4 linked regions of the Arabidopsis thaliana genome follow. The protein of the gene in region 3 interacts with the protein of the main gene of each other region in a biochemical or structural test. Each region holds a gene or a part of one and is shown on either strand. Other genes may lie near its edges.

The links.
Region 1: of the proteins of ROPGEF1 (region 3) and ARAC1, one has a biochemical effect on the other in vitro, tested with the Arabidopsis thaliana proteins (one study listed by BioGRID).
Region 2: of the proteins of ROPGEF1 (region 3) and ROP10, one has a biochemical effect on the other in vitro, tested with the Arabidopsis thaliana proteins (one study listed by BioGRID).
Region 4: the proteins of ROPGEF1 (region 3) and ROP1 form a complex in vitro, tested with the Arabidopsis thaliana proteins (one study listed by BioGRID).

Annotation. Positions count from the first base shown.
Region 1 is NC_003071.7:7,738,034-7,742,780, forward strand, and holds ARAC1 (RAC-like 1), read left to right. Parts: upstream 1-1,753; 5' UTR 1,754-2,279; coding exon 2,280-2,378; intron 2,379-2,571; coding exon 2,572-2,659; intron 2,660-2,748; coding exon 2,749-2,858; intron 2,859-2,957; coding exon 2,958-3,021; intron 3,022-3,495; coding exon 3,496-3,560; intron 3,561-3,651; coding exon 3,652-3,717; intron 3,718-3,807; coding exon 3,808-3,909; 3' UTR 3,910-4,247; downstream 4,248-4,747. Other genes in the region: VPS35A (vacuolar protein sorting-associated 35A-like protein), read left to right, coding at 217-285, 360-440, 544-651, 741-844, 917-1,030, 1,110-1,311. UniProt on the Arabidopsis thaliana protein: Inactive GDP-bound Rho GTPases reside in the cytosol, are found in a complex with Rho GDP-dissociation inhibitors (Rho GDIs), and are released from the GDI protein in order to translocate to membranes upon activation.
Region 2 is NC_003074.8:17,728,256-17,736,157, reverse strand, and holds ROP10 (RHO-related protein from plants 10), read right to left. Parts: upstream 4,822-7,902; 5' UTR 4,598-4,821; coding exon 4,493-4,597; intron 4,168-4,492; coding exon 4,080-4,167; intron 3,882-4,079; coding exon 3,772-3,881; intron 3,679-3,771; coding exon 3,615-3,678; intron 3,520-3,614; coding exon 3,455-3,519; intron 3,354-3,454; coding exon 3,288-3,353; coding exon of another isoform or gene 3,246-3,287; exon of another isoform or gene 3,187-3,245; coding exon 3,083-3,186; intron 2,942-3,082; coding exon 2,917-2,941; 3' UTR 2,645-2,916; downstream 1-2,644. Other genes in the region: protein SUO, read left to right, coding at 1-1,888. UniProt on the Arabidopsis thaliana protein: Acts as a negative regulator of abscisic acid (ABA) responses.
Region 3 is NC_003075.7:17,982,626-17,990,916, forward strand, and holds ROPGEF1 (rho guanyl-nucleotide exchange factor 1), read left to right. Parts: upstream 1-3,758; 5' UTR 3,759-4,017; coding exon 4,018-4,285; intron 4,286-4,372; coding exon 4,373-4,489; intron 4,490-4,575; coding exon 4,576-5,096; intron 5,097-5,208; coding exon 5,209-5,562; intron 5,563-5,647; coding exon 5,648-6,034; 3' UTR 6,035-6,244; downstream 6,245-8,291. Other genes in the region: sks9 (SKU5 similar 9), read left to right, coding at 215-361, 460-569, 799-1,069, 1,158-1,263, 1,354-2,080, 2,181-2,259, 2,339-2,548; IYO (RPAP1-like, carboxy-terminal protein), read left to right, coding at 6,490-6,663, 6,852-7,692, 7,757-7,872, 8,035-8,213. UniProt on the Arabidopsis thaliana protein: Guanine-nucleotide exchange factor (GEF) that acts as an activator of Rop (Rho of plants) GTPases by promoting the exchange of GDP for GTP. Acts downstream of PRK2 in the control of polarized pollen tube growth by activating ARAC11/ROP1.
Region 4 is NC_003074.8:19,041,232-19,044,893, reverse strand, and holds ROP1 (RHO-related protein from plants 1), read right to left. Parts: upstream 2,037-3,662; 5' UTR 1,698-2,036; coding exon 1,599-1,697; intron 1,509-1,598; coding exon 1,421-1,508; intron 1,330-1,420; coding exon 1,220-1,329; intron 1,137-1,219; coding exon 1,073-1,136; intron 993-1,072; coding exon 862-992; intron 781-861; coding exon 679-780; 3' UTR 501-678; downstream 1-500. Other genes in the region: VPS35C (VPS35 homolog C), read left to right, coding at 47-260; AT3G51290 (pyridoxal-phosphate-dependent serine hydroxymethyltransferase, putative (DUF632)), read right to left, coding at 679-780, 862-992, 1,073-1,136, 1,220-1,329, 1,421-1,508, 2,478-3,231, 3,321-3,544. UniProt on the Arabidopsis thaliana protein: May be involved in cell polarity control during the actin-dependent tip growth of pollen tubes. May regulate callose synthase 1 (CALS1) activity through the interaction with UGT1.

The sequences.
Region 1 (4,747 bases), on a different chromosome or scaffold from region 3:
GTGTTCAGATCTGTTTTTAGGTAGAACAATGTGTCTCAGAGCTACATTACTTTTTTAAAACTTAGCCAAAGTTAGTTCATACAAGCTGATTGACAACGTTGAAAATTCTCAATCAACAGTTTGTAGATATTAGCTAAAGAGACTGCTGTTATTGCTCTGTCTCCACTACAGTCATCAGTTCTTGTATTTATTGTTGGATTTTTTTGCTTGTTGCAGATTATCGAAGCGCTACCTAATGTTCCATCACCTGACCTGGCATTCCGGTTGTACTTGCAATGTGCTGAGGTAAAACTACGTACCTGTTTATTTAGTATGCACTTGCTCGGTAAAATGCTCACAGATCTTTCCTATTTCATCAGGCTGCGGATAAGTGTGATGAAGAACCAATTGCATACGAATTTTTCACCCAGGCATACATCTTATACGAAGAAGAAATTTCGGTTAGTTATGTTTTCGCGGACGTTCATATGTCTCGTGTCTAAACCAAAGCAAGTAGGTGAGTTTAACTCTCTCTCGTGCGTCAAAAACTTGCCTTTTGAACAGGACTCAAAGGCCCAGGTGACTGCGTTACAACTTATAATTGGAACTCTGCAGAGGATGCAAGTATTTGGTGTTGAGAATAGAGATACATTAACGCACAAGGCTACGGGGGTATTTCATCATGATATGATAATTAGTCTCTTACCATATTCAATTGTCTCTGCTTAAAGGCTGACAAGGGAAAACTTATACTCTTGCAGTATGCAGCGAAACTTCTAAAGAAACCTGATCAATGTCGAGCTGTTTATGCCTGTTCTCATTTGTTCTGGCTGGAAGATCGTGAGACCATACAAGATGGAGAAAGGTAATACTTTCTTCTGTGCGATAGAACACAGTGTGTTTAAAATAGCTCATTAGGTTTCTTACTTGAAATCAGGGTTCTACTTTGTCTGAAACGAGCGCTTAAAATTGCAAATTCGGCTCAACAAGTGGCCAACACAGCTCGGGGTAGTACAGGGTCTGTTACCCTCTTCATCGAGATACTAAACAAGTAAGCGCTTTTTATTGTTTGTTTTACTTCTCATTTTCCCAGATCAGCAAGCAGCATTATGTAATGTGAATTATGGCAGGTACCTCTATTTCTATGAGAAAGGGGTTCCACAGATAACAGTTGAATCAGTAGAAAGCCTGATAAAACTGATCAAGAACGAAGAATCGATGCCCTCTGATCCATCTGCTGAATCATTCTTTGCAACTACGCTTGAGTTCATGGAGTTCCAAAAGCAGAAAGAGGGTGCCATTGGTGAGAGATACCAGGCGATCAAAGTATAGAATCTCATGTTGGTCAAAAGAAGTCGGTTTGTTTTTATTAAAAAAAAAAAAAGCTTTGCTTTGAGTCGTTTGAGAATCGGAAAGGGACTGATATTGTGTTGCTTGCTGCTCGAAATGTAAACCCGGGTTTAGGTCTAGTTTTATTCCTCGGATTTTCAAGGCGGTTCATGGTCTGTAACTTGTGGAGTTTGATGTGTGTTTATACGAATCTTTAGTATTCTGAGTTTAACATTGGATATTACATATTAGATAATGTCCTTCATGAAAAAAGTATTCATTTTATGTATTCTGTTGAATGATTATTGACGCATAAAAACATTTTCAATACCATTGTATAACGCATAATTAACAACCTTTGTGAGGCTTCAGCCTTCAAATATATCAATAGAAATTCAGTTTACGAAATCAACTTAAAAAATTTTGAAAAAATAATAAAATTTAAAAAAAAAACAAATTGTAGGTTAAATTTTTTTAAAAACAAAATAAAACAGAAAAGAAACGAGAAAAAAAAAAAGCAAAACAATCGGAGAAAGTTGATGGAGGAGATTGTTCGTTTTGTGAACGCTTCAATGGCATAAATTTCCGGCCATCACATTTCTTCTACTTTCTCTTTCTCTCTCCCTTGTTGTTGTTCTCTAGAATTCGATTCATCGTTGTTAACGTCGTCCATTCTTCTTCTTTGATCCCTTCTTTGATCTCTCACATTTCCGATTCCAATTTAGGGTTTCCTCTCTTTTCACATTTCTAGGGTTTTTCTTGTTCCCTTTGTACCGGAGATGGTGAATTGAAAGGAAAAATAAAACGCTTTTGAGAGCTTATATTTGAGGTTGTTTCCTCAGGTTTTGTAGATCTGAGGTTGCTATTTTTGAATTAGAGATTCTTTTTTTTTTTTTTCAAAATTTTGTTTGTTGTGATCATACATAGACGTACGTAGCTCCATTTCTGGTGGAGAAGGAAGAAGAAGAGAAATGAGCGCTTCGAGGTTCATAAAGTGTGTCACCGTTGGCGACGGAGCTGTTGGTAAAACCTGTTTGCTGATTTCTTACACCAGCAACACTTTTCCTACGGTATAATGTTCCTTCCTTAGATTGAATCATATTCTGTGTTCTGTGAATTACAAGCTTCAAAATTGTCTTCTCTATTGATTGATGAGACCAAAGCTTGTGGCAATACATGAATCGATCCATAATTTTTTTTTGGTGTTATGAGGATTTGTGGAGCTTTGTATCTCATTGAATCTTGTAAATTCATGTGGAACAGGATTATGTACCGACTGTTTTCGATAACTTTAGCGCAAATGTGGTTGTTAATGGAGCCACTGTGAATCTTGGGCTATGGGATACCGCAGGTACTGACTAAATAATAGGGATCTTACTTAGTAGTAGCGGCAGCTATGGGATTTGGGGTCTGAAACTTTTGTTTTGTTGTTGTAAACAGGGCAGGAGGATTATAACAGATTAAGACCTTTGAGTTACCGCGGTGCTGATGTTTTCATCTTAGCATTCTCTCTTATCAGTAAGGCTAGTTATGAGAATGTCTCCAAGAAGGTACGTTTTTGAAATGAATGTTTGCTACAAGTTTTGATATGAATACTCTGAAGAAAGTCTTTTGGTTGTGATTTTTGCTGCTTTATCTTCGTTTTGCAGTGGATCCCAGAGCTGAAGCATTATGCCCCTGGTGTCCCTATAGTTCTTGTTGGAACCAAACTAGGTAAGCTCGTTTTTTGACATATATGTCTGCTAATTTGATTTGTTCACGTCCAAGATATATCCATGTAGTACCTTTTAGCTCTTTTGTGTCTAGCGGAAACTAGGCCTGGATTTTGGAGTATCACAAATCCTGAAATAATCTAGGTTTACAAGCTTGTCTGTGATGTTTCGTCATCATTTTTAATGAATTCCGCGATACGTTATGGATCATATCTCACATTTTCTCTTGATAGTTAACCTCCATTGTAAGAGACAACTACATGCATGTAAGCAGCTGTTGGATGTCTAGCAATTATAAACCTAATAGAAAAGGCTTATACAAGATGTTGTGCCAAAATTGGTGTAACGGATTCTGTTTCTTACTTTTAATACCAATGCTTAACTTTCGGCCTGCTGTCTGATCCGTCTAGACCTACTTTTAATAGTTATGAGTTTCGTCTGGTGCTTATGTTTTGTGTTTCATCATATATGCCAGATCTTCGGGATGACAAACAGTTCTTCATTGACCACCCTGGCGCTGTACCAATTACTACTGCTCAGGTAAACAGAATTTTTCTTTGAAATGTGTCAATTTACTTAGCCTGTTACTTAAACGAACCCTTTTAACCGTTCACCACTTTGGGCATCAAAGGGAGAGGAACTGAAGAAACTAATTGGAGCTCCCGCATACATCGAGTGCAGTTCAAAAACACAAGAGGCAAGACACAAAAACTTTCCCTTTTGTTTTGAGTACTACTCTGCTTCTTTACTTAGCTTTTCTCAAAGCTTTTTTTTAATGAAATTGCAGAACGTGAAAGGAGTATTTGATGCAGCGATCCGAGTGGTTCTTCAACCTCCAAAGCAGAAGAAAAAGAAAAGCAAAGCACAAAAAGCCTGCTCCATTTTGTAATTTCTCTACGCTTCTCTTACGTATCTCTCTCTGTCTCTCTGTCTCTTCCACTCTTCTAGTGAAGGCTTAAGAAGAAAACACATTGGGCTTAAAAATTGTTCCAGAGTTCGTTGTGATAAGCTCTCTTAATCCTTAAAAAAACGATTATTTCTGTTTATTGATGAATAGTTTCCAGCTTTAGCTGAGACCTAATATTGCACTTACCACTTCTCTATTCTTCCTTCGATTTCAATGACTAGTTGAAGAAAACAGAGATGATGGATTTTCCACTTCAACTTTACTTAAGTCTACTAATTTGAACATATTACTTGTTCTCATTCTTCCAATTCTAATTTAACAAATGGTGCAATTTGGTATATTTTATTGTCTTGAATACTTCATCCAAAAAATTGTGATGCATATAAGTCTTTAAAAGTTCTGAATGTTTCAGTATTGTGATACAAAAATCAGAATTTTGCATTCAACTATGCCAGTCATTACCTTCTTTAATATATTTTCTTATAAATAAACCTCTCAAACTCCACTTCTCATCCATCACACAATCCTCAAAACAAGAGAAACAAACCCAAAAACAGAGCAATCTCAAAAAGATGAAGCTGCTCTCTTCAGTCTTCACCATGCAACTAGCCAGCGCCTCCGTTCTTACCTCGTGTAGAACAACATATAAGTTCCAAAAAAAAATAGTCATGTTGCTAAACGATGCCATTTCACAACATGCACTTCATTTCGCTTTTGAAGTTTAACTGACTTGTGAAGAATTTGAACAAATGGCCCATTAGCTCAGTTGGTTAGAGCGTCGTGCTAATAACGCGAAGGTCGCAGGTTCGAAACCTGCATG
Region 2 (7,902 bases), on a different chromosome or scaffold from region 3:
GGAAGAAGATGTACCCGTTTCTTCTGGGATTTCAAGGGATATGGATGCTGTAAGCATTGGTAGACCTATAACTGAAATGGTCAATAATGTTGCGTTTAATCATATGGACCAAAAAGATGTAAAGAAGATTAAGCAGGATTGTGATACTTCTGTGGGAGCTATAAAGGATACCTCAGCCGGTTTGGACTCATCTGTAACTAAAGGTAAAGTTGAGCCTGTGGAGGGGAATCTGGAAAATAGTGAAGTCAAGGAACGGTACTCAGGATTAAGAGCTACTCCAGGATTATCACCTAAAGAAGCTGAGGATCTTGAGAGACCGAATGGGCCTAAAACCAGTGATGCTGATGGAGATGAAGCGGGGGAATGTACGTCTGCTGCCAGAGATGCTTCTTCTGTTTCAGCTGCAGCTTCAGCTGGCTCTGAGATGGATGCCAGAGTTGAATTTGATCTAAATGAAGGTTTTGATGGAGACGATGCAAAACATGGGGACTCAAATAACTTCTCTGGATCTGTATTTTTGACGCCTACTCCTCTACAACCAGTTAAGACCTTACCTTTTCCGGTGGCTCCTGTATCTAGTGGAACTCGTGCATCTATTACTGTTGCTGCTGCTGCCAAAGGTCCGTTTGTTCCACCTGAAGATCTGTTGAGAAATAAAGGGGCTGTTGGTTGGAGAGGATCTGCTGCCACTAGTGCCTTCCGCCCAGCTGAGCCAAGAAAACCTCAGGATGTGTTACTGAGCATTAACAACACCTCTACATCTGATGCATCTACTTCTGCTGGCAAACAGACAAGGACGTTTCTGGATTTTGACTTGAATGTACCTGACGAGAGAGTCCTTGAAGATTTGGCTTCCCAAAGATCTGGAAATCCCACAAATTGTACATCTGATATCACCAATAGTTTTGACCAAGTACGTTCTGGGGTCATGGGTTCCGCCCTTGATCATTCTTCTGGAGGCCTTGATCTTGATCTAAACAAAGTTGATGATTCAACTGATATGATCAGCTACACAATGAACAGTAGTCATCGGCTAGATTCATCTTTTCAGCAGGTTAAATTACCATCGACTGGTGGTCGTAGAGATTTTGATTTAAATGATGGACCTGTGGGTGATGATGCAGCTGTTGAGCCATCTATGGTTCTAAATCAACATTCACGAAGTGGCTTGCCATCACAACCATCTCTCTCTGGAATTCGAGTGAATGGCGAAAACATGGCTAGTTTCTCAACTTGGTTTCCTGCTGCTAACGCTTATTCAGCTGTGAGCATGCCTCCAATTATGCCTGAGAGAGGTGATCAGCCTTTTCCAATGATTGCCACTCGTGGCCCACAGAGAATGTTGGGTCCAACAACTGGTGTTTCCTCATTTACCCCTGAAGGGTACAGGGGTCCTGTTTTGTCGTCGTCTCCAGCCATGCCATTTCAGTCCACAACGTTCCAGTATCCTGTCTTTCCTTTTGGAAACAGCTTCCCCGTTACCTCAGCGAATTTCCCTGGTGCTTCTACAGCACACATGGATTCTTCTTCAAGCGGGAGAGCTTGCTTCCCCGGTGTCAACTCTCAAATATTGGGTCCTGGAGTTCCAGTTCCGTCTAATTACCCAAGACCTTATATAGTTGGCCTCCCAAACGGTGGTAGCAATGGCGGTGTTTTGGACAATGGCGCGAAATGGTTTAGGTCAGGACTTGACTTAAATTCTGGTCCTGGAGGTCATGAAACAGAGGGAAGAGACGAATCAACACTTGTGGCAAGGCAATTATCCTCATCTGCTTCCTTACCTTTGAAGGAGGATCAAGCAAGAATGTATCAAATGTCAGGTGGTGTTCTGAAGAGGAAAGAACCGGAAGGAGGATGGGATGGATATAGGCAGTCCTCATGGCAATAACAGTAGCTCAGAATCTCAGTAGGCCACATGAGCTTGTAAGCCCTCGAAATCCACAAACCTTAGTGTTTTATGACCTCTCTTTTTGTTTTTCTCTCTCTTACTAATGTTTCAGTTACATTTTTACTCTGCTAGTTACTAAGAGATGAGAGTGAATGTGATGCCACAAGGCTTCATTGGCTGGCCTGCTCTGTACAAATGAGGCATGGGTGAGTCAATTTGCGACTTCACAGTGGTCTCAACCTTTTTAAGAACACAAACCTGACCTCTTGGTTTCACCATCATGTAGATCTTCCAAAAACAGTCCTAAATTCACCGGAGTGGCCATTCTCTTTCAGAAGAGTCATCAACAAGGTTCTCAGCGAGAGACCCGCATCACCACCTCCCCACAAAGAGTTTTAAAAGGTGAAAACACACTTTTAGGTCATTTTTCATGCATGTGTGTATCTCTATACACCGGCTCAAAAAACTAGCGATAAAACAAATGTTGGTGGCTTTTGAGTGTGTTCAAAATGATAAAAAAAAAAGTCTTTCGCATTGTGGCTTTACATGTGTGCGTTAGGTGATGGGGGTTGTATTATAGACACAAGATTAGTTACTTCTTTTTATCTTTCTTTTTCCAGTTTGTAGATTTATTACTTCTTGTGCTGGTTCTGTTTGAAATTTACAGGCTTCTTCTTACTTGTCACGCTTTTGTCGTTTGGTCTTGGATCTCATAATAGGACCAAATAAATTCGAATATGTGATTAAGGATTCACCTTTTTTCGAAAGAAGCAAGTGTTAACCACGTTAAGTCGTGAACTACTCCAAGTTTTGGCTACAAAATGGCTATAACAATTCTATAAGGGTCAAACCAAATCGAAACAAACAAACATCAGGGTCACATATACAAACAGAATCGAAGAAGCTACTAATTGAGGCTCATCTCTGCCAGAGTCTATGTAATTCCGACTTATCAGAATCACAAACTGGCCAATTAGAAAAGAAAAGAAAAAAAAAGAAGTGAACAATCATCAGATGGAATTGACTCATCAATTCTTCCCACACAGAATGTTTCTGCACAATAGAGAAGCCAATCTATAATCATTACACAAACAAACAAAACTGTATGAAGAAGCTAAAGGTTGCATAACCAAATTCTAGTATTACATAATTTCTTAGTTATATATTAAAAAGAGTGAAGATTATTGAACTTACGAGAGACATCCGCTGCGAGGCTTCTGCTTCTTCTTCTTCTCCTTTTGTTTCACTGCTGGTTTAATTACTACTTTAATAGCAGCATCAAATACGGCTTTCACATTCTGCAAAAGCCATGAACCAAAGAAAAGCATATAGTTTGCAAGTAAAGAGTCACCTAACACTAATGACTCCTAAGTTTCCAAACACACATGAACAAGTGTACCTGTTGAGTTTTTGAGCTACATTCAATGTAATAAGTCGCTCCGATATGCTTGCGGAGTTCCTCTCCCTGTAACACATGAATGATTAAATCATATAAAACCTAGAGAAGAGAGAGTCTAGAGAATGTCACAACAATCTTTTCGGTTTCTACAGGTTGAAAAAGCACACCTGTGATGTAGTTACCGGGGACAGTCCAGGATGATCAGACAAGTAATGTCTATCTTCACGAAGATCTAGATAACGGAACATTGTAAGAAACATTACATATATGTGATTCTCAAGCATTACACAAGGAAATATGTTGGCTCCACTCTTATAGCTATCTTACCCATTTTGGTACCAACAAGCACAATGGGGACTCCTGGTGCAAAGTGTTGGAGTTCAGGGATCCACTGAACAAAATAAACGCTTCAAAAACATCAGAAATTCACATTTCATTCTTTGTTTTCCCAGTAAGAAATACAATGAATCCAATTTCCACAAACCTTTTTAAACACATTCTCATAGCTAGCTCGGCTGATCAATGAGAAAGCCAACACAAAAACATCTGCTCCTCTGTAACTTAAAGGCCTTAGTCTGTTATAGTCTTCTTGCCCTGCAAACATGAAAGGGTACTCATAATCATAAAACTCTTAACAGTCACTAATCTTCAACACTCCCTATAAAGTTCTCTATCTAAGAATCCCAAATCAAAAGCAAACTTGCTAGATGTTAGAAAGATTAGAACCACATAACATTAGTGAACTTGGTTATTCTGAGATATTCAAGAGAGGGATACAGAAATGTTACTTACCGGCAGTGTCCCAAAGGCCTAAGTTCACAGTGATGCCTTCAACCACAACATTAACACTAAAGTTGTCAAAAACTGTTGGTATGTAGTCCTGATACAATCCATCAAGCAAATCTTTAACTTCACGAGAACAACAAATGCGCAATAGAGTAAGAGGAAACACTGGTGAATCAAGAAAGCCACTAACTTTACAATGTAAGATTTTTCAGAATCTCCAAAAAAGGATTATTTTTGCACAATCCCTAAAAAAGGAGCTAACTTTGAAATACCATGCTAAAATTCTCGGTGAAAGAGTTGAAATTTGACAGACCCAGAAGTATATTCAACTAAAAGTGACGAAATTGGAGATGCCCGAAAGAACAATTTGATGAAAAATCAGCGAAACTGTGATTTACTTGATCAAATTTTAAACTTACAGTAGGGAATTTGTTGCTAGTGTAGCAGATGAGCATACAAGTTTTTCCAACGGCACCATCTCCAACAGTCACACATTTGATGAATTTTGAAGCACTCGAAGCCATTCTAACTCACCAAAAGCAAACAACTTTCAACGAAGAAACGCCCAAAAACCAGAGAGATTGTGAGAGAGATAATAGAGAGATAAATGAAGTGATTAACATGAGGAAGTGTGGTAATAAACTATATAAACCCCATATGATTAAAAAAACTAAACTCTCTTTTTTTTCACTTTTCTTTCAATATTTTCAAAGTTTCAATTTTGTATTTTTGTCTCTTTCGTTTTTTGGTTTGAAGACTGAAGAGAGGGAAAGAAGAGGGGCTCACATGATATATCCATCTAATCCACATGACTTTTCTAAATCGTTTCATATTTATCGCTTTTACAAATGTATTAGATTTTAACCCGTGGTATACCGCGAGACGATTAATTTTTTAAAGGTAATATATATTAAAACTTGCAAATTTTATTTTTATAAAATATTTATATTTTACGGTTTATAATTGTTATTAAGTAACGCTATGCCACGAATCTATAAGACAATTGTTAAAAAACTGAAGTTTTAACCCTTATTAAAACAGCATATTAATAATATTTTATAATTTTATAAATATTGATTCAAATACATCCACCATATAACCGAATTCCAAAATAAAACTCGTTCTGTAATTTCTTTACCCGTCCCGTGAGTTTTTTTTTAAGTCGTAATTTTTAAAATTTAAGAATTATTTATTATATATAAAAGTTTTGCAAATTGTATCATTCTCTAATACATTTATATTTTATAGTTTAATTTTATATATAGTAACATTATACATATCACATAACATTTTTGGTTTTATATAATATTTTCTAAATTAGGATAATTTGATATGTTTAATATTAGTGGTCTTAAAAAATAATAAATTAAAGATTTTACCCGTATTGAAACGGTGGATTAATTATATTTTACTTTTTTATTAATGTTGATTCAAAAACCCGTCCTTCTAAATCCGTCTTGCCAAAAAGCCATTTATTTTATTCATATTAATTTTATTTATGATATGACTCTGAATTCTAAACATTTTAGCTAATAACATAGGAGTGCACCATATTTATTTAATAGGGGAATGTACCATATGACCCGAATGCACTTTTATCCAAATCCACCAAAAAAATCTTGCAAAAATACTATAGAGATAAGAAACGATAGTCGGTTTTAATAGGTATAAGATTAGCAAATATATTAGTTAGCTTAAATTAGTTAAAGAATACAAATTAAAAAGGTATATTACACTTTATTCGAATATAATATCAAAACTTATATAACACAGAGATTTGATAAATTTTTAATTGTTGAATACTTTTTTTTTGTACAAATTTTTATGTGATTAAGATTTATTGATTTCGTATATAAAATATTAAATTGTTTTACGAACTTATTTGTTTATAATTTGGTAACAGAAAGATATTTGAATATTCGGTATATTTTGCTTTAGTTTAGAAAATCTTTGATGACCCGTCTTTAGATTCAACAAGCCCTATAATTAAGAAATGAATATTGTCGTTAAATGATTTTGGTAACCTTAATGATGTCATTAAAAGATTTTGTTTTTGATTAAATTTTTCTAATGGTATTGTCATGTAATTAATTACAAAAATTAAGGTTACATTTAAAATGTATTTCCCAAATAATATAGTAGGATTAAAAGGATACTAAAAGCTAATCACATGCTTAAGAAGCATTGATTATAGTACGTTATTTCTTTTTCTTTATCGGTTGATCCTTCTTATTTTGTTTAGCATTAAAAACTGTTATATTTTGCCATCATTTTTTTTGTAAGATTCTGGCATTACTCATTACCAATTAATTGTATAGATTATTTCAATAAAACAAATTTTACCTGGTTCTAGCTAGGAGAAATGAACATAACTTGGTTAAACACATATGTAGTTATAGAAGAGAGAAAGATATATATATATATAGGAATTAGGATTAACTCTGAATTGGGGACTTTTAAGTTTTGGAAAATAGCAACCAAACTTTTCCTTCTTTTTTTCTGTAACATCTGCTATCAAACTTATTCATCAATCTTAGTAAAGTATAATTTTGTTATTTCAAAACAAAAGTATCCAAGCTAAATTGGGTTTTCATATCTGATTTGTGGGTTTGATAAAATTGGTTACACACTATCGTGCTGCCAAAAAAAACAATAGACCCAAAAGGCCCATGTCTTTGGCCTTGTATGGCTGTATCATCAGAGACAAGGCAAATGATCCATCAAATTGAGATAATAAACTAGTGCATATATAGTAATCTACGTGATGATTTGTTAATAGACAAGACGAGTTTGTTATTTGTTAATTAATGATAGATAGCAGATTTTAATGGAATACTCTTTATGAAGATCACATGAAAATAAGCTAATAACCGAAATTGTAATATCTTTCAATGAAAAAACAGGTGCGAATGTGCGATCATTCCTAATCATCTTATTTGCATGATGTTACTTTAATTTATGGTAAGTTGATCACACACATTTCAATGCATTTGTGATGAACTTAATAATTAACCAACCGAAAGCAAGAAGCTATATATATATCGCTTCTCTTGCCTATTTAGATCTCCAAGCCTCCACTTTCTTACACTTTCAACTTCCATTAAAAGCAATCAAAGCAAAAAAAAATGAAGATTCTTGTCTTGATTTTGTTTTCACTTAGCACCCTTCAAAATGTTTGTGGATTCGATTATAACGAAACAGAACTAGAGAGTGAGGAGAGTTTATTAAAGCTATACAACAGGTGGACGAGCCACCATCACGTTCCTATGAAGTTCGAAACAAAAGAAAATAGATTCTAAGTTTTATTAGGTCATTTTTCATGTTATTTCGGAAGACTTAGAATCTATTTTCTTTTGGCTTGAGTTTCATAGAAACGTGATGGTGGCTCGCCCACCTGTTATATAACTTTAATAAACTCTCCTCACTCTCTAGTTCTGTTTCGTTATAATCGAATCCACATATATTTTGGAGGATGCTGCTAAGTGAAAACAGAATCAAGGCAAGAATCTTCATTTTTTTTATCCTTACACAGCTATCAAATGAGAATGCGACCCTTCAAAGGCACAAGGCGTGAGGGTAACCATCGATCAATTCGCATTTGTAGATCCATTCAACGAGGCAGCCCTTCTCAAGGCTGTTGCAAGCCAACCTGTAACAGTTAGAATTGATGCTCATCATCCAGATTTTAAATTTTATTCAGGGGTAATCGAAAAATGTATGCATTAATAAATTCGCAGAGACAAACCCCCAGAGAATGGTTGGCAAAAAGCATAAAGCTATAAATGAAAATTTTCAGTATAAAACAAAAAAAAGTTTCAGTAAGACAAAG
Region 3 (8,291 bases):
AAGGACAAAATAATGGGTATTTAATTAGTAGGTGGGGTGGCCTTATAATATATTACAGGTTGAAATAAAAACACGGAATTAGCTGATTGGAAAAGCTTCCCCCTCCCCATTGGACTTTAAATACGACACCAGAGTCATTTGTTCCGTTACTACAAAACAGAGTTGAAGCTTTCTCTTCCAACTTTATCTTCTTCTTCTTCTTGTCAAAGCGAGTATGTGCTGGTGGCTAAATGGGGCCGTTTGGACGATGATGATGATGACGATATCCATCATTTCTTTTGTTCAAGCTGATGATCCCTACCGTTTTTTCGACTGGAGAGTCACTTACGGCAACATTTCTCCACTTGGCATTCCTCAAAGGGTATTTTTTTTTTTTTCCAACATCCACAAAAATGGCGGGATGCTTTCTGTTTTTGTTTGCTCGATCATGCATGCTTTATATTCTATTCATACACGCAGGGAATCCTGATAAACGGACAATATCCAGGACCCGATATTTACTCAGTCACCAATGACAATTTGATCATCAATGTTCACAACGATCTCGACGAGCCCTTTCTCTTATCTTGGTACCATTTATCTAGCTCCCCTTCTCTACCATTTTCTTTCATTCATTAGTTATATTAGAGGAAATAGATATTGGAGTTTGGTAAATGGCATGATGGAGCCAATTTGCATGCACTAGTGTTGTTTCTTCACATTCTTGTTAGAGATTATATTGGTGGCGAGACGTCAAGTTTTCATGTTAATATAATATCAATGAATTAATATAATACAAAATGGTAAATACTAATGAAGGAACGGAGTGCAACTGAGGAAGAATTCTTACCAAGATGGAGTGTATGGGACGACTTGTCCAATCCCACCGGGTAAAAACTACACTTATGCCATCCAAGTCAAAGACCAGATCGGTAGTTTCTTCTATTTCCCTTCCCTCGCCGTTCACAAAGCTGCCGGTGGTTTTGGCGGTTTCCGTATCCTCAGCCGCCCTCGCATCCCCGTCCCTTTCCCTGAACCCGCTGGAGATTTCACCTTCCTCATTGGTGATTGGTTTAAGCATGACCACAAGGTATTTCTTTCTTGAATTAACAAATTATGTTCGTTTTAGTATTTGTCATTGTTATACAAGGACCATAATTAAATGTAACATTATTCAGGTTTTGAAGGCAATTTTGGATAGAGGACACAAGCTACCTTTGCCTCAAGGGGTTTTGATCAATGGCCAAGGAGTCAGTTACATGTCTTCCATCACCGTCCACAAAGGTTCATCCTAAAAACACTCAAATACTTTGATTACGAAGAAAAGCATTATATTATCTCATCATTTATTTTTTGTTGTGGAACAATTATCAGGTAAAACATACAGATTTAGGATATCGAATGTAGGGCTTCAACACACTCTGAATTTCAGAATCCAAGGTCATCAGATGAAGCTCGTTGAGGTAGAGGGAACACACACAGTCCAGTCCATGTATACCTCTCTCGACATTCACGTTGGACAGTCTTACTCGGTCTTGGTCACCATGGACCAGCCTGACCAAGACTATGACATTGTCGTCTCCACAAAATTTGTCGCCAAAAAACTCTTGGTCTCATCTACTATCCACTACTCCAACTCAAGACATAGCCACTCATCTTCTGCTAATTCAGTCCATGTTCAACAACCTGCCGATGAACTAGATTGGTCTATCAAACAAGCCCGGTCCATTAGGACCAATCTAACCGCGTCTGGGCCAAGGCCTAACCCTCAGGGTTCGTACCACTATGGTCGAATCAAGATTTCTAGGACTTTGATATTGGAAAGCTCAGCGGCACTAGTGAAGAGGAAGCAACGCTACGCCATAAACGGAGTGTCGTTTGTACCTGGAGATACTCCGCTAAAGCTTGCGGATTACTTCAAGATCAAAGGCGTTTTCAAAATGGGAAGCATACCTGACAAGCCGAGAAGAGGAAGAGGGATGAGAATGGAGACGTCAGTGATGGGAGCACACCATAGAGACTTCCTTGAAATCATATTTCAAAACCGCGAGAAGATCGTCCAAAGCTACCACCTCGATGGATATAGTTTTTGGGTTGTTGGGTGAGAATAATTAAAGATTAGCTATATCTATCGTCCTCTATATATAGTAGCTAGTAATAATGCATTGCATGCATCTGATGTTTGTGAGTACTGTCCACAGGACGGATAGAGGAACATGGTCAAAAGCAAGCAGACGAGAGTATAATCTTAGGGATGCTATTTCTCGCTCCACCACTCAGGTACAAATAGTTTCTAACTCCATATATCTTACCAAAAATTTTAAAAAATCATCTCAAAACTAGTATTTGGTTGTTGTAGGTATATCCAGAATCTTGGACAGCCGTATATGTGGCACTGGACAATGTGGGGATGTGGAATCTAAGGAGTGAATATTGGGCGAGGCAATACTTGGGTCAACAATTCTACCTTCGAGTTTATTCTCCAACACACTCTCTTAGAGATGAATATCTTTTGCCTAAGAATGCTTTGTTGTGTGGCCGAGCCTCCAATAAACACACCACTCCTTAATGACTCTACTCAGACCAATCGTCAATGGCTGATTTAGGGATATGTATTTTATTATATTGAGTTCTTTATTCTTTATAATTTCAATAGCTAGATATATGTTGCACAATTATTATATATACTTCAAAAATTGTAATGTATACCCAAATTTGATGAAAATTTTACTGTTTTGTAACGGTTATTGCTAAGTTTGAAGTTAATTTTTGTAGGCAAATGCAATGTTTTCATATGAATCAACCAAGTAACTCTACCATATCACCAAGCAAAATAGTATAGTTTGAAGAGAGAGAGTAAATTAAAAAAAAAAAAAAACCATACATAACATATTAGAAACATTAATTTCGAATAAACAGACTTTAACGATGAAATAAAAATTTAAATTATTATCCACCGGTAGATGTAGAATGTTTATTGGTATAGAAAGTTGTTCTATTTGGTCAAAGTTTTTGTTGACCTTGCAATTACAAATTACAAGGCTGTCAATCGAATGAAAAACATGGCAATGGAAAAGATTTGCTAATAATGCCAAGACAAACAAACGTTTATTTGGAAGGTTAAAAGCCTTTTAGAGAAGAAAAAAAAAGAGCAGAGAGTCAACTAATTAAGCCATGCATGTGAATCAACACCAATCCATAGCATATTCTAGTGATCAGTGACATTAATATTGTAGATTACTATATTAACCCGAATTCAAAGGGCATTAAATAGGTACTTTAATGAATTGAATTAAGAAGAGTAATATAATCAACGGCTTAGATTCGTTGCGTGAAAAAACCATAACCGAAAACAGCGGAATCCACGAAATAAGTAAGCCAAACGCAATCTAGACCGTACGATGTGAATACTTTAATGACGCCAGAATACTATGGACAGTGTAGATCAGGCGAATGGGCGTAATACACGTGGCGTAAAATCACGAGGATAGATATGGTGCAACGTAGTTCAGGCCGGTGTGGTACGAGAGAGTCTGATGATCCGACAAGGAATACTTCTAGTCCACACAATGTCAGCCTTTCTTTATTTTCTCGGTCGCTTCGAGATTCTCAATTCTGCTCTGTAGAAAAGATCCTGATGGTTCACTTTTAATATCCAACGGTTGATATAACACAAGCGCATGCTCCTCTTATGAGAACGGCCGTGGGATATAATTTAATCTCGCCGTTAAAAAATGTGACGACCGTGAGTTAACGGTTTATCTGTTACCAACCTCATACCTGTCCCTAACGGCAGAGGATAACGCCGTGAGTATGGATGGATGGGAGAGAAAAGAAGAGAGAGAGTGTGAGTGAGGAAATGAAAGGAGTCTTTTTTATTTGTTATCTCTCATCTCTCTCTCTCTTTCTCTCTGAGCTTTGCTTTTTATCAAACAAGCATCATCATCACATCCACTTCCTTCTTCTTCCTTTCTCTGTCTGTCTCTTAACCCAAATGTGGACTCTTTGAGCCGTTATTAGATCTCTGCCGCTTCAATAATGGGGAGCTTATCTTCTGAGGAAGACGACGAAGTCTCTTCCGAGAGATGCGGAAGTTACAGTCCCAGCGCCGACATTAGCGAGTCCGAGAGTTCCAGCAGCTTCTCCTGCCACCGCTTCGACGGCGAGGGTGCCTCTAGCTCCATCCCTTCTTCCCCTCGAGTTGTCGCTGGTAGAGGATTTTACTTCCCGGCCCCAGTCATGCTTCCGGTGATCGGCGGCAAAGATGTGGTCTGGGATGACAAACAACCAGACAACGATTTATCCGGTATAAAAGTTTCCAAATTTGACCTCTTTTGTAAACATTGATGAACACTAGGATTCAATTTCCCTTTTGTTTCCTATTGGGTTTCAGAAATTGAGATGATGAAGGAGAGATTTGCTAAGCTACTTCTCGGGGAAGACATGTCTGGTGGAGGTAAAGGGGTTTGTACGGCGCTTGCTATCTCCAACGCCATCACCAATCTCTCTGGTACCATCTCAATCTTCTTCCCTTTTTGTTAGTTGGTATATATAGTAGGGGTTTCTAGTTTTTTAATAAGGCTAGTGTCCACACAGCGACTGTGTTTGGCGAACTATGGAGGCTTGAGCCTCTTGCTCCTCAGAAGAAGGCCATGTGGCGCAGAGAACTTGAGTGGCTGCTCTGTGTTAGCGATTCTATCGTTGAGCTCATTCCTTCCATTCAGCAGTTCCCTGGAGGCGGAACTTATGAGATCATGGAGACCCGTCCACGTTCTGATCTCTATGCCAATCTCCCTGCTCTCAAGAAGCTCGATGCTATGTTGATCGATATGCTTGACGCTTTCTCCGATACTGAGTTCTGGTACACTGATCGCGGCATAGTTCTTGGTGATTGTGACAAGGATTCTTACAATTCTCCAGCTTCCGTTAGGCAGGAGGACAAGTGGTGGCTGCCTTGCCCTAAGGTTCCGCCTAACGGTTTGTCAGAAGAGGCCAGGAAGAAACTGCAGCAGTGTCGGGACTTTGCTAACCAGATTCTCAAGGCTGCATTGGCAATTAACAGTGGCGTGCTTGCCGAAATGGAGATTCCCGACCCTTACTTGGAGACTTTGCCCAAGGTATGCGCCTTCTCGAGCTCAAGGATTAGCTTTTTCATTGCTGCTGGAGCATAAATTCTTTTACCGTTATATGTGATTAGCTCATTGAGTTATGATTTTAAACTTAATGCAGAGCGGGAAGGAATGTCTTGGAGAGATCATCTACCAGTACTTAACTGCAAACAAGTTCTCTCCCGAATGCCTCCTGGACTGTCTTGATCTCTCATCGGAACATCAGACTCTTGAAATCGCCAACCGGATTGAGGCGGCTGTGCATGTTTGGAGACAAAAGAATGGGAGGAGGCACAAGAAGCAGGCGAAACTAAAGCTGTCTTCTTGGGGTGGCAAGGTTAAAGGCCTTGTTAATGACAACGAAAGAAATGATTTCCTTGTGCAGAGAGCCGAGACCCTCTTGCAGAGTCTCAGGATCCGTTTCCCGGGACTTCCCCAGACAACGCTGGACATGAACAAGATTCAGTACAACAAGGTACATTATAGTTTGGAGTGTGCTTTGCTGGTTGCATCATGAAACGATGCTTAGATAATTTAAGAGTTTGTGTGTGTTCTTGCAGGATGTAGGGCAATCAATTCTGGAGAGTTACTCTAGGGTGATGGAGAGCATGGCCTTCAACATCACGGCCAGAATAGATGATGTGCTTTATGTTGATGATGCCATGAGAAGATCCATCTCTGTCACAGAATCGCTATCCCTATTCAGCATCAATGGACTCAACCCTCAAAAAGCGTTCTCTGTGCAGAGCTCTCCGCACGGTTCACCATTTGCAACGCCTGCCCTAAGTGTAGCATCAAGAAGCCCGAGGAGAGCACCGCCGCTGTATTCAGTGAAGAGGAATGGGACGAGAGAGAAGGGAATAGTGGGAGAAACAGAGAAAGCATGGTCGTATGCAGGGAATCTGAGTTCAAGAAGAGTAACGGGAGTGACGCCGGAAAGAGATTAAGATTGAAAATAGAAGAATGTAAATCAATGGTTGTAGAGACTGTAGTTGTTTCTTGTTTGTCTGACTACGAAGACGAATGTGGTAATAGCAACAAGAATGTTATCTTATGTGGAGTTTTGAAATGTTGTTAACAAATCAATTCCTTAGCTCATTTACCAAGTTTACAAAGATTATGGTCCAAGTCCTAAAACTGAATGAACATCACATACCCGTCTCTTGAGTGATTTAATCATGTTCTTCATTGCACTAAAGCGACAACTTTTGGTTCAAATATAGACTATGACTATATGGTTTGTTTTGCACAGGATTAAAGTTGATGTTCCAATTTTATAATTAAAAAGTCAGAAAGGGGTTTTCTTGTTATTTTTTACTTGTTCTTATAAGCTATCGGGACGACACGGAGTTTTAAAGAGTTTTCCGTTTTGCTGAGCGGAGGCGAGAGAGGGTTTAGAGTGATGGAGCAAAGTAGCGGGAGAGTCAATCCGGAACAGCCGAACAACGTCTTGGCGAGCCTTGTCGGGAGCATCGTGGAGAAAGGAATATCGGAGAATAAGCCTCCAAGCAAGCCGCTTCCCCCAAGGCCCTCCCTTCTTTCCTTCCCCGTCGCTCGTCATCGTTCTCACGGACCCGTAAGCCAATCCAATCCTCTAGTGCGTGCTTTTTAGGTTTCCATCTTCCTTTTGTTGCCTTCTTCTAGATTTTAAGCACCTTCTACTGTTGTTTAGTACTTGGGACTCCACAATTTTTCACCGTGCCTGACCTTGTAATTCAGCTTTCTGAGACATCTAATTTTTGTTTCTCATGTTTGATTTTGTAGCATTTGGCTCCTGTGGGAAGCAGCATAGCACAACCTAAGGATTACAATGACGATCAGGAAGAAGAAGAAGCAGAAGAACGTTTCATGAATGCAGACTCCATTGCTGCTTTTGCTAAACCGCTTCAAAGAAAAGAGAAGAAAGACATGGACCTCGGGAGGTGGAAAGATATGGTCTCTGGGGATGATCCTGCATCCACACATGTCCCTCAGCAATCAAGGAAACTTAAGATCATTGAAACGAGACCGCCCTATGTTGCTTCAGCCGATGCGGCCACTACATCCAGCAACACTTTACTGGCTGCCAGGGCATCAGACCAGAGAGAGTTTGTTTCTGATAAAGCACCGTTTATTAAAAATTTGGGAACCAAGGAAAGGGTTCCTTTAAACGCTTCTCCTCCCCTAGCTGTTTCGAATGGACTTGGGACTCGACACGCGTCTTCGTCTCTTGAAAGTGATATTGATGTTGAGAACCATGCAAAGTTGCAGACAATGTCACCCGACGAGATTGCTGAGGCTCAGGCTGAGTTATTGGACAAGATGGATCCTGCACTACTCTCCATTTTGAAGAAACGAGGTGAGGCAAAATTGAAGAAGCGAAAGCATTCTGTGCAGGGGGTTTCCATCACCGATGAAACAGCAAAGAATTCAAGAACTGAGGGTCATTTTGTCACTCCTAAAGTGATGGCAATACCGAAAGAAAAAAGTGTGGTGCAAAAGCCAGGGATAGCCCAAGGATTCGTGTGGGATGCATGGACTGAGAGGGTTGAGGCAGCCAGAGACTTGAGATTTTCTTTTGACGGGAATGTTGTTGAGGAAGATGTTGTCTCGCCAGCTGAAACTGGTGAGTAGAACAATACAACTGAAACACATGACAATCTTAGGTTGCTTACACTTTGACTGTACAGGTGGAAAGTGGTCTGGTGTTGAATCTGCTGCCGAACGTGATTTCTTGAGAACCGAGGGGGATCCTGGGGCCGCAGGTTACACTATCAAAGAAGCTATTGCTCTTGCACGAAGTGTGGTATGTATGATTGCCACATATTTTAATTTTGATGCTAATTAATGGTTAAATTCTTTTTTCCCTCCATTTTGGCTTTAGCTGAACAAAACCTGTAGGCTGAGACTGCGTTTTTTTCGTTATCACTGCTCATTGATTTGTATGTATTATTGATATATATATCAGATTCCCGGGCAGAGATGTCTTGCTTTGCATCTGCTTGCATCTGTACTCGACAAAGCTTTGAACAAACTTTGTCAAAGCAGAATAGGCTACGCAAGGGAAGAAAAAGATAAATCCACTGACTGGGAAGCCATCTGGGCTTATGCCCTTGGACCGGAACCTGAGCTTGTCTTAGCATTGAGGTAATTTCCTGATGGGTGTAATTTTGAGACTTATTTGTGAAGTTGTCACTCATAAATCATAAATTGTTTGTTCTTATC
Region 4 (3,662 bases), on a different chromosome or scaffold from region 3:
CCAGTTGTCACTGCTTTCTCTTAATGGTTTTACGAGTCAAATGCAGGTATCTCTACTTCCTGGAGAAAGGAAACCAACAAGTAACAGGCGATACAATCAAGAGCTTAGCTGAATTAATCAAAAGCGAGACAAAGAAGGTTGAGTCAGGCGCAGAGCCATTCATAAATAGTACTCTACGTTACATCGAGTTTCAGAGACAGCAAGAAGATGGTGGCATGAATGAGAAATACGAGAAAATCAAAATGGAATGGTTTGAATGAATTTATTTCTTGCATTCTGTTAGGCAAATCATCAATAATCAATGGCTTCTCGTCTTGTTGCAGAAGCATGAAGAGTAATCTTGAGAAATAAAACTTGTATCATTACTTTTCATTTCCTAGTTACACTCTCTACCAATAAACATGTTTGCAAAGTTTAAAACAGTAACATACAAAATATGGTCAGCTGAAGAAATGGTGGGAATGAAAACTGATTCAAAACATGTGGTGTTTGTGTGGAATTATGCATAGGACTGAATCGTAGAAGCAAAAGAAACGTTGATTCCGACAAACTCCATTAATATTAAGAACAAAAAGGACCAGTCAAACTTGGGTGTCTGTCCATTAACACATTGATTCATTCATTGTTAGAAGATTAATATACCAAAACCAAATACATAAAAACAGAGATTTCCAATCATCATAGAATGGAGCATGCCTTCTGCGCTTTGCTCTTCTTCTTCTTCTGCTTTGGCGGTTGCAACACCACTCGGATGGCTGCGTCAAACACCGCCTTCACATTCTGCACTCTCACATCATCAACATTAGCATTAACATTAACATTAGAAATCTGCAACAAGGGTATATATACTAATCTACGTACCTCTTGAGTTTTGGAACTGCATTCGATGTAAGTAGGTGCTCCTATTTGCTTCCTCAGCTCCTCTCCCTGAGCAGTAGTAATCGGAACAGCACCAGGATGGTCGATAAAGAACTGTTTATCATCTCGAAGATCTGGAGAGCAAAAACACAAACTCAGTCACAACTAATAAAGTAAAAGGAGCGAGATCAGGAAAAAACAATGGAAAACTCACCAAGCTTTGTTCCAACAAGGACGATGGGGACACCAGGCGCGTAATGTTTCAACTCCGGGATCCACTGCAAACACAATTTGTGACAAGAGTTCAAAAAATGTGACGAAAACTCAATAATATGAAACAAGATTGATGGATTTTTAAAACCTTTTTGGAGACGTTTTCATAACTGGCTTTACTGATAAGAGAGAAGGCCAAAATGAAAACATCTGCTCCACGGTAACTCAGTGGTCTTAATCTATTGTAATCCTCTTGCCCTGTTTATTCATACCCAAATTTTCAAAATCTTCAGATCCAAAAACCATATTCCAAATTTCAAACACCAAGATATATAGGAAAATGAAAAACCTGCAGTGTCCCACAATCCAAGATTCACAGTGCTTCCATTAACCACAACATTGGCACTGAAATTATCGAAAACGGTAGGCACATAATCCTGTATATCCACAAAAGAAACAAGAAACATGAGATATGTTGTTGTTGTGGTAATGAAACAAGAAACATGAAAGAATAATTGGGACATAACCGTAGGGAAAGTGTTGCTTGTGTAAGAAATCAACAAACAAGTTTTTCCGACAGCTCCATCACCAACCGTCACGCACTTTACGAACCTCGAAGCGCTCATTTCCCCTCAAAGTTTATTAATTTCAGGGAAATTTATAAAAAAAAAGATCTCAAAGATTTAGCCTTTGGAATTGGAGACTCTTGATATTTCTATTGATCGACCATCTGGGCATTGCGGATTCGAAACGATTGGAGTTTGTCCCAGAGATTAGAAACCCTATTACCCAAAAAGATAGAGGGGAAACAAAAAAAATGAAAACTGGAAGATGGCACAAAAACCGAAAAAAAACAAAGAGTTAGTTAGAGTTAGCTTTGGCCGGGAAAAATGGCGTTGAAACGTTCCGCTAACCAAACTTGTCTTTCTATTTCCGATTATTGTGGATTTCCTCTTTTAATAGCTCCCAACTAATCAAAATTACCAATCGATTGTGTGTTTATTTATGGGAAATCAAATTAGGCACTTGTCTTTTTCTGCCGCTCAAACGAATCATCTCTCTTTTCTTCTGTTACGTACACATCACGAGTGTTTGATTATCATTAAACTTGCTTACTTCTTTAAGCAATCCCCTTAACTACCTCACTAACTAACTAACTAACACTTCTCCAATGTTAATAATACCTTGGTAGGTCACCTTCCAATGATTTGACTTGGCTAAGAAGTAGTTGAATTGATGAAGTTTCAAGCAGTGATTCAATGAAAAGTCATTTAACCAATTTCATTTCGAAAACAGCATAAACTCAACCTAACATTCAACCAAAAGATTAGCTTGGATCAAGCAAAAACAGAGAGCAAATGGTAAAACAATTTGTCTTTCTCTCTTTAAGGAAGCAACCTCTTAACCTCCTCTTGATCCTCACCGATGCTCTTAGCTTGGTTGTACACAGACTCAAAGGCTTGCATACACACACTTGAAAACCCAACCATTGCCTGAAAGACATGAGGGAAACCCATCTGCAAGTTATTTAGAGTCATGGCTCTAGTCACACTCACTGACTTCTCATGCTTACTTTTCTCTTCTTCTGCTTTTCCTTTTAGCATCTCAACCTTTACTCTCTTCTCTATCACCGGGTTCTTTTTCCTACTCTCAGGTACCGAGTATGGACTATACTTGCTCTCAAGCGCTCTCAGCGAAGCCGATTTCTTCTCGAAATCTTTTAACATGGATTCTGTTCTCTTCTTTTGCTTATGCTCGTCGGCTTGTTGAGCCACAATTCCATGGACTGCTGTCAGAAAGCTTTTGATCCCTTCAGATGCTACTTTATCAGGGATCCTGTCAATAGCTAAATGCCATTCCTCGCAGAAGCTGTAGATCTTTGACTCGTAGCTACTCCTAACAAGTGGATTCTTGCTGAACTGGAACAGACTTAACCTGAGCCAGCCCGTGAGAGATTGTATGTAGTCACGTTGGGCCTTGACCAAGTTGCAGAAAGAGTGATGCCATTGTTGGACCTCGAGCTCAAGCTGAAGAGTTGATTGTCGGTGAAGCTCAGATGTTGGTTCAGTGGAGGGGATGGTGTTAAGGTACTTAAGCTGCTGCACAATATGGGTTTGAACCTGGTGGCTCTCGTACATACTCCTCCACATACACATTAGCCTACATTACATTCATACAAGAACCTTGTTCACATTGACCAACATAAGATACTTTAGGTTAATGAAGCAATGGGAATGCACAAAACAAACCCTTTAACAAGCTCGACAAGCTGAGGGTAAAGCTCGGTCTCTCTGAGCTTGATGATCTCGTTAGAGGCGCTTTGGATGGCTTGTGAAGATACTGAGAGCTGAGATTCTAACTTCTCGACGTCTTTCTTAGCCTTCTCAGTCTTGACATACTCAGCTCTCTTCATCTCAAGCCTCCTCACTTGCTCCACTTTCTTCTCATGATCCATCTTTATGCTCTCTGCATACTGCAACAAAACCCACATTCAAAAAACAACAAACACTCACTCACTACTTGGCAAGATATTTGTGCCAGTGTACATAACACATTATTCATCAGAATTAAGTACACACGTGGGTCTCTTA